2 linked regions of the Oryzias latipes genome follow. Each later gene encodes a partner of the first gene's protein in a complex. Links are inferred from orthologs where the notes say so. Each region holds a gene or a part of one and is shown on either strand. Other genes may lie near its edges.

What was found.
Region 2: tubgcp3 (region 1) and nme7 share a complex: the UniProt entries of both Homo sapiens proteins name them as parts of the gamma-tubulin ring complex. The link is inferred for Oryzias latipes from reciprocal best matches to the Homo sapiens genes TUBGCP3 and NME7.

What each region holds. Positions count from the first base shown.
Region 1 is NC_019860.2:22,840,015-22,844,597, forward strand, and holds part of tubgcp3 (gamma-tubulin complex component 3), read right to left. Parts: intron 4,477-4,583; coding exon 4,409-4,476; intron 4,080-4,408; coding exon 4,002-4,079; intron 3,872-4,001; coding exon 3,669-3,871; intron 2,683-3,668; coding exon 2,507-2,682; intron 1,623-2,506; coding exon 1,510-1,622; intron 562-1,509; coding exon 436-561; intron 350-435; coding exon 233-349; intron 1-232. UniProt on the Homo sapiens protein: Component of the gamma-tubulin ring complex (gTuRC) which mediates microtubule nucleation.
Region 2 is NC_019862.2:27,522,159-27,525,589, forward strand, and holds the end of nme7 (nucleoside diphosphate kinase 7), read right to left. Parts: intron 1,891-3,431; coding exon 1,783-1,890; intron 1,343-1,782; coding exon 1,310-1,342; 3' UTR 1,288-1,309; downstream 1-1,287. Other genes in the region: sodium/potassium-transporting ATPase subunit beta-233, read left to right, coding at 10-267. UniProt on the Homo sapiens protein: Possesses an intrinsic kinase activity. Displays 3'-5' exonuclease activity with a preference for single-stranded DNA. Does not seem to have nucleoside diphosphate kinase activity.

The sequences.
Region 1 (4,583 bases):
CGTATGACTGTCACCTTTCCCACTATTTATCCAATTTTTAAAGGCGTTTCAAAGATGGCTACGACCACAGAGTTGAACCCACTGCGTTTGCATCAAGGGTCCATGTCTTTTACCCCCCCCCCCCACCACCACCACCACCACCACCACACACACACACACATAACATGTTGAATATCTAAAATTCTCTTCAGAAAAACAGACTAAGATGGTTTCGTAGGTGTGGATTTTTTACAAAAACACGGTGGACTTGAGGCGCCTCCTCCTCCCGTAGCGGGTTTACCTGTGAGTGGAGGACCGAGAGGAGCCGGTAGTACTCCTTCAGCTCCTGATGGAGCGCGGCACAGAAGCTCTGAGGCAGACGGAGAGAGGCAGACGGGCGTTAAGGGCGGATACATCCAAGAACAAGGACCACTGATGGAGCCGAAGCACACGCACCTGCCCCACCAACCCGAAGGCCCGGTCCAGGCTCCTGGCGTCCGTGTACTTCCGCACTTTGTTGTGGAGCCAGCCCAGTTCGGCCAGTCTGCTGCTGGTGTCCCTCAGGGATTTGCATAGCACCACCTAGTGAGGAAACGTCAGCTCGAGTCGAGGAGAGTCGTAACAAATACTCTCAAAACGACTTTATGACGTCAACGAGCTGGACTCAATACTAACAGAAATAACAATAATTACATTTATGATACTTTTTTTCATGTCGTGCGTGAGTTGTTTATATTTCCCGAGGTGATGGGATTTTCTGAGACCAACGACTCACAAGCTTTTAGGAGCTTTTAAAATCCAGGAATCAAGCTTGATCTGAGCAGAAGGAAGGACTTTTTTTGCTCAGATCCCGTTTGACCCCGCCCCGTTTTGGGGATGCCTCATCCTCCTAGCCTCTGAATCGACTGTATGGGCTTAGAGAAGTGTCCAAATGAATCGTACGCTCATAAAATAAAAGTTGTTTACAGAAAAGGAAAGAAAAAAAGAACGATTTTTTATTGGGATTAATCTGTTTTGAATATTGTTTTGGATATATTAACCACCTTTGATTACTGTCAAAAACAGTAATTGGTAGTATTTTCATTTTCTAGCATTCCTTTTACTATTAATGGTTTGTTACAGGGCTTATATCACACACTATAAAAGTTTTACATTTTGAGTGATAGATCAAATAAGGCACTAAAGGTTGCGTTTGGTTTGCTCAAGAGTGCAAAGCTCCGTCTCTGAAGTGTCATCAAGATGACGATTGTTTTTTTTTTTTACCTTCTGAAGGAAAAGGTGCATTAAATTTTCATGTCCTGAAGGACAGCTTTTGTGTGAAGACTAAAAAAAACAACTAAAAACATCCCATTATCTCTATTCCTGCCTCGTTTATCTTGGTCTGGTGGAGCACTGAGTCTATGTTTAGGAGAAAATACTCCTCATTGATGAAACCACAAAGGCAAAAAACGGCATCTTTTATCCAGAGAGCTTCACATCGATCCGGTAAAGTGCAGCCCCCACCCCTCTGCTGGCTGCGGCCGTCAGTACCTTGCTGTCGATTTTGTAGCAGTTCTCCTGGACGTTCATCTTGATGAACTTCCCGTCGATTCCCTGGAAGACGTACAGGATGTCCCGCACCAGCGCAGCCTCGTGGACCTCACCTGGTGGACAGGTCACTCAATCATCATCTCCAAAAAAACCCACCTTAGAAATGGGGTTTACTTTGTAAAGCTTAATAAATATTCAAATTAAACTTTTTCCAAACATTTTTTTTTTTAGGTTTCCTTGAAAAGCTGCAAGTGATGAATTTTAAAGAAGAAGAAGAAAAATCCTCTGACTTTTATTAATTTTACCTGGAAAATTATCCTTTCTGTTCATTAAAACAGGAAGTGTTGGGTTGTTGTGCTTTTATTGTGAAAGCTGGACGTCTAAAGAAGAGGATGAGCTTTTATTTTATTTATAGATTTATTCTAAAAGTTCACATTTGATGGATTAACGATAGAAACAGGATAAAAATCATGATTTGTATTAGAGAACATAAAAAATAAACACAAGTTTAAATGAAACAAAGGACATTTTTAACAGTTTGTTTGCTTTAAAATATATTTAGCAGAAAATGTCTTCATTTTATTCATTTGAGCTTATGTTTCCTAATTTAGAAAGTTACATGTTTCTACACTGCATTATTTATTTCTGTAAATAAGTGGCTTTAATGTAAACATTTCTGTATCTATTTATAAATACAATAAAAGATTTTATTAACACATTTTACTAGAATGTTTTTCAATATTTGCATTCTCTGACCTCCATGAAATTTATTATTATTTTTTTTTACAATTTAAAGCCCATGAATCAATTTTTATTGATTGTTTCTAATATTTCTGTAGCAGAAATTATTTTTCTTAGAGTTTTTTTTATTAAAATAGTTAAACATTTTGTGGGAAATGTATTATTTTTTCATTAAAGTCCCTAATAAATGATTAAATCTGAAAATCGTGGCTTCATGAATCCGATTTACACTGCGGAGCGTGTCCGCATCGCTCACCAGTCAGATCGGCGTCTTGGCGAGGACGGATCACTCTGGCCGTCGGCACCGGAGGTCCGAGGGGAAGTCGGGCGCTGGGCGGGGCCAATGCAGAAGGGGAGGAGCTTATGGGAAGAGCCCAGGCTAACCGTGAGCCCAGAGTTGGAGCAGCTCCAGCGGCAGACGGAGGCACCTGACTGAAACATAGAAACAAAAAAACCAACACATCACTTGAAGGAAGTGCGCTGCAGACACACAACACAATAAGACAACCCGATGAAAACGACATCCAAATGTAGCATTTCTTTATTCAAAGTCACTGAACGGGGCTGTCAGACAGAAAAATATCCTCGGATGAAACCTGAAAGAGCAGGAAAAAGAACAAATAAAAATAATAAAAAAGGCTCTTTTAGAGTTTCAGAAAAAGTTTAACAGAAAAAAAAATCCAAATTAAAATATTTCTTAACCTAAACCTGAAAAAATGCGAGAAAAGAAACTCTTGGACTAAAAGAGCTTCTAAAACCGCAGCTTTTTTGCAAAAAGAAAAAAAAAAAAGACCAAAACTGGAAAAACTTCAATAAAACTACAGTACTACTAATTTATTTGATTTCCTTCTTTTTTAACTTCTTCTTCTCCTGTTTTATTTACTTCATTTCATCTTCACTCATCTTTCTGGAACCAGAAAAGTCTGGTTCATGTTTGTCACGGATGTTATCAAATTGATGGTTTCAACTGTAAACTAACTTCTTATTCTGGTTTTATTCAGTTTGCATCCAGAAAACTGACATGAAAAACTGCATTAGTGCAAATCAACCAGCTTTCTGCACTTTGTGCATATGTAGCTATAAAAACTCAGAAACAGCCTTAAATGGCGGCTAAAACAGCCTTTTTACGGGTCGGTTCATCTGCTGCTGCTAGCTTCATCGCTGTGGGTTTTATTAGACCACAGACTAACGAGTTTGTTCTCCTAAAAGCCACGGCCACGCCACGCAGTAAGTAAGTAAATCTTTATTTATATAGCCCTTTTCTCAGATTCACAAAGTGCTTCACAACTTAAAACAATAGAAATCACAAAAAAAGCAGCGGAAAAGTGAGAGTCGTCCTTGCAAAGTACAATGTTATTTTCTACCGCTTTGTGCGCCTCCTTTCTGCCCCCTCTGTGTGAACGGACCAGAGAGCTTACCCCCCCAGCAGCGACTGTGGCGTGGGGCCGTTCAGCGTGTACACCCCCAAGCTGGAAATCCCGCTGGTCCCGACGCTCCCCACCAGGGCGGCGGTCCGTTCCCCGTGACCCAGCGACAGGCTCTGGGGCCGAGTGCAGTAAAACGGGGTGGAGTGGGCGTCCCTGGGGAGGGCCTGGGCAAACAGGCCCCCGTAGTTTCCAACCTGAAACGAGACACTTTGGTCAGCGTAGTAAAGATGCGAGACGATCCGTGACGCAGCGAAATTATACAAGACAGAAGAGGAAATAAGATAGAAACATTGTGTTTGAGTCGTGGGGGGGGGGCGCGCTCACCCTGGAGGATGGTTTGCGGGGGTCTTCAGAGAGAATCAGCAGCAGGTAAAGAACCGCCCAGCGGTGCTTCAGAACACCCTGAAAGGTGGAAAACCGTCAAAATAAAAGCCCAGCATCCTTCAATCAAATGAAAGAAGATTCAATTTTGACCAAATTTAATAAAAAAAAAAATCATAGCTTATTAATTACTAACATCAATAGCTTTAAAATTAAAGTACGGCAAGAAACAAACAGAAAAATGGACAACAATCAAATAAATGTGGACTTTTAACCTTTCGTCTTCACGTATTTTGTTTTTTCCTCATTTATTCATCTAGTATTACAAACTCAGCTGAAATAGTGTCGTCAGAAGCCAGCAGGGTCGTTTTTGGAGGTTTATTCTTGTTGGCGGGTAGAAAAACGCTCACCTGAGTCTGGAGTTTTCGGTGCAGCTCTGAGAAGAGAGCAGCGTCCGCCTCCCTCCTCTGCTTCACCACTGCAGGAGCATCGACACCAACAGTTAGACGCCATCCAACGCTCCTTTCACAGCCTCAAACGTCTGATGGTTTCATGTCCACATCTATCAAAAACCCTTACGCTTGT
Region 2 (3,431 bases), on another chromosome or scaffold:
CGTTTGCAGAGACCTGAGGATGCATCCAAGATTGGAGAAATCAAGTACTTTGGCTTCGGCGGAGGCTTTCCTCTGCAGTACTACCCATACTACGGCAAGCAGCTGCATCCCAACTATCTGCAGCCCCTGGTGGCCATCCAGTTCACCAACCTCACCATCGGCGAGGACCTGCGCATCGACTGCAGGGTATTCGGAGACAACATCGCGTACAGCGAAAAAGACCGTTATATGGGACGCTTCGACGTTAAGATCACTGTGAACTCATGACCTCGGCCGCGACGAGCACTTAACACTGAAAGCAACCTAAACCTAGTTAGTAACGAAGAAGTTCTGATAAACACCACTAGTCTTTGAACATTCATAATATACAGGACCTACACCTAATTCGTGTGCTTTACACCCGCTTATCCGTGTTTTTGTCGCAAGTTAGAGAGTTAATAACAAGAATAGCAATAGATGATATTTATTCTACTGTAAAAGAAAATATTCTTTGAGCCATGGGATGTTCGGTTACTGTATAAAACTGCAATTCCACTACTGAGATGTAGCGAGTTGTGTTTTGTCCCCACCCAAGGTATTGATCCTCACGTCGTTTCCTCAGCCGTAGTCCTGTTGTAATCTGTTTTATGTCAGCTTTAGTGGTCCAAGGTGTGTGCGCGCTGCTGTCCGTGTGCAGGTGTGTTAAATATGAGTGCATGGGGTTGTTGTCAGTACGTTTTAACTACATGGTACTCTGATTGCGCTCCGTTAAACCCTTCGGTTTTTTGTTTTGTTGCATGTTCTGCATTTGTACACATGTGTCTCTTTTTATCTGTCAGACATGATTTGACATTTCTGTTTGATTCTTAACGTTTGTTCAAGTTTTAATCCGTAGAGTAGAGCATTGCGGCTTCATCCGCAAAGGCTGTCACCTCTATGGAAACCATGGCAACTCAGTGCTTTGAAATCTGTTTTGCTGGAGACATCACAAGAGTGTGATGCAACTTTCTATTAAATGTTTTAGCCATTTTTCACGATGGAATCATTTTATATTTATGCAGTTGTACATTTTTTTTTCCAAAGTGTGATGTTTGAATCCAATACCAAAGTTGCTGGTTTAGAACTTAGAGAATATCAGAGGCATCGCAGTATCCCGTGTAATAACATGCTTAGTTGGTGTGAAAATACTTAATTCAATGTTTAAGATCACAAAACCTGTCAGGAGTTCATTCTGTCACTTTATTTAATCTGCATAAGGCTGAAACAATAAACAGAAAAATGGAGAGAAAAACTCAATTTTTTTTTTTTGGTATCAAATAAAACAAATATTTCATGTGTCCAAGATCTTGAAGAAGTACTGCACCTGAAAAAGAGAGTGAACACTGTCAGGAGATCTGTGTGACGCCTCATTGTTTGATGTCACTGGAAACTCTGCACCAGCTCTTGCTTGGTCAATATGTCTTGGGAAAATGGCAGCTCAGTCAGTCGCCAGCTAATGTTTAACAAGGAGGCATTTGTCCAGGCGACAGATCAGGAGTTTTCCTGAACAATGACGTCGGACGGTTCAGGCCCACACTCTGCAAAAACAATGCTTTTGTTTGAAATTCCCCGGCCCTTCTTGTTCTCCTCAAAGCCAGCGTGATCTGAGGCTGCCCCAGCCCACGGAGCGAGGTCACGAGACGTTTGCAAACACAAAGAACGTCGGGGCTCATGGCTGTTCTGTTTTTGCTAAAGGAAAGGTGGTCGCCTATGCATGAACCAAAGGACAAAGTGCAAGGAACAATGTGGATGGGTGCTACCCACCTCCAAAACCCCGTCTTCAGGGAGGTCTGTGCAGTGGACAGCGTTCCGTACTTTGTCTTTGCCGTACAGGGCGCGCAGCGTGTTGGGCCGAAGATGCCGTGCGATTTCCTGTTGAAGGAAAACATCTCCATTGTGGAATTCAACTGAAACTTAAGTTATCAGGAACAAAGGGGAACTGGAGCGGCACACATGCGGTCTGAATTCACAGAGATTTTGACACAGCACATCCTGTTCTCAAGGGTGTTACTAAATCACCGATTACTCAGCAAAGCAACATGTGATCCTTTAGAAGTGTGGAAAAAAGCTCACCTCTCATTCGAAGTGGAAACAATCTGATTACCTAAACTGTTCTCAGTTCTTTTCCTGTGGTTCCAAACCACCTCAGACATATAAAAGCCCTGAAAATAACAGGTTTTTGCTCAGAAACAGCAGGGACTTCTTTCTGGGAAAAAGTATTTATCTCGAAAAAAGGGCTTCCTTTCAAGATCAGACACTCCCAAGGTCAAAGCTGGGCTGAGAGTCTCCAGGAAATGTAACCCTCCCACAGGGTTCTTCATCAGCTGGAGAGAATTCAATTCAGCAAGAAGACCGTTGGTCAAAGAGTGTGGTAACGCACGAGTCGTGCAGATGAAGCTGTCGTAGATGTTCGGTTACTGCAGGCTGAGTCTGGTGGCAGAGAAACGGTTACTGCGCTGACGTACACCAGAGTGCACAGGATGCAGGAAAAAGATTCAAGGGCAGCCCAGCACCGGCCTTGTCTTTAAAGGCATCCATTGTCTTCCCAAACAAAAATGCTCCTTCAAAACAAACACGTTCAAAAGATTGTGGAAGTGAAGCTCAAGAGACTCCGTCTGAAAGAACAGGAAGTGTGGACCAACTGAGCTCTGCTTTGGCTTCAGTTAACCCACCAAGACAATCAATCACTAAGAGCTTAACCTGCAAGTTAACTAAAATTCACTGAATTTAGAACATCGAAGATATTTTAAACGTTTCAGGGAAGTTCAAAAGGTGGATTTTTAGCTACATTATTTTTGAATGTTACTGAGGAAAGTCTTTTCCATTAGCTTTCACGCACCTAGGTGTGTGACGTTTGTTCTTCATATTTAAGTCAGTTAAACCCCAGAAACGAACCAATCAGATGCCGCAGTATGTGGTGCCGGATGCCCCCCACCCTAAACGTTCAAAATGTTTGCCCAACAGACAGCACTGATGGGTCCAACATGGCGACGTCCATTTCGTCATAAAGTGGCGACTGAATTGACCTCATTTGGTTGGAGCTGAGAGAACGCCATTTTCTATGGGTGACGTCACACTCGGTCCACTGAGTCACATATCTCTAAACGCCACCGCACGGCGACCCAAATGTGCGTTTTTTTAGGAAATCGGTCAGGTGGCCGCACGGCGACATTTGTAAGCAGGACCCGGCAGTCGCATTTTTACACGCTGCAGAGGTTTTAAGAAAAGTACAAAATTTTTTTGACATCAGTCAGTGGCTGCCCGGGAACATTTGATTAACAGCAGGAAGGCAGCCGTACGATAATTAGATAATTGAAGGGTCTTCAAGATGATCAGCCGATTTCAGATCGTCGCCCTCCAGCCACCATCCCATTGTTAGACATTGTGCAGTACCAGCGCGGGCACCTGAAATG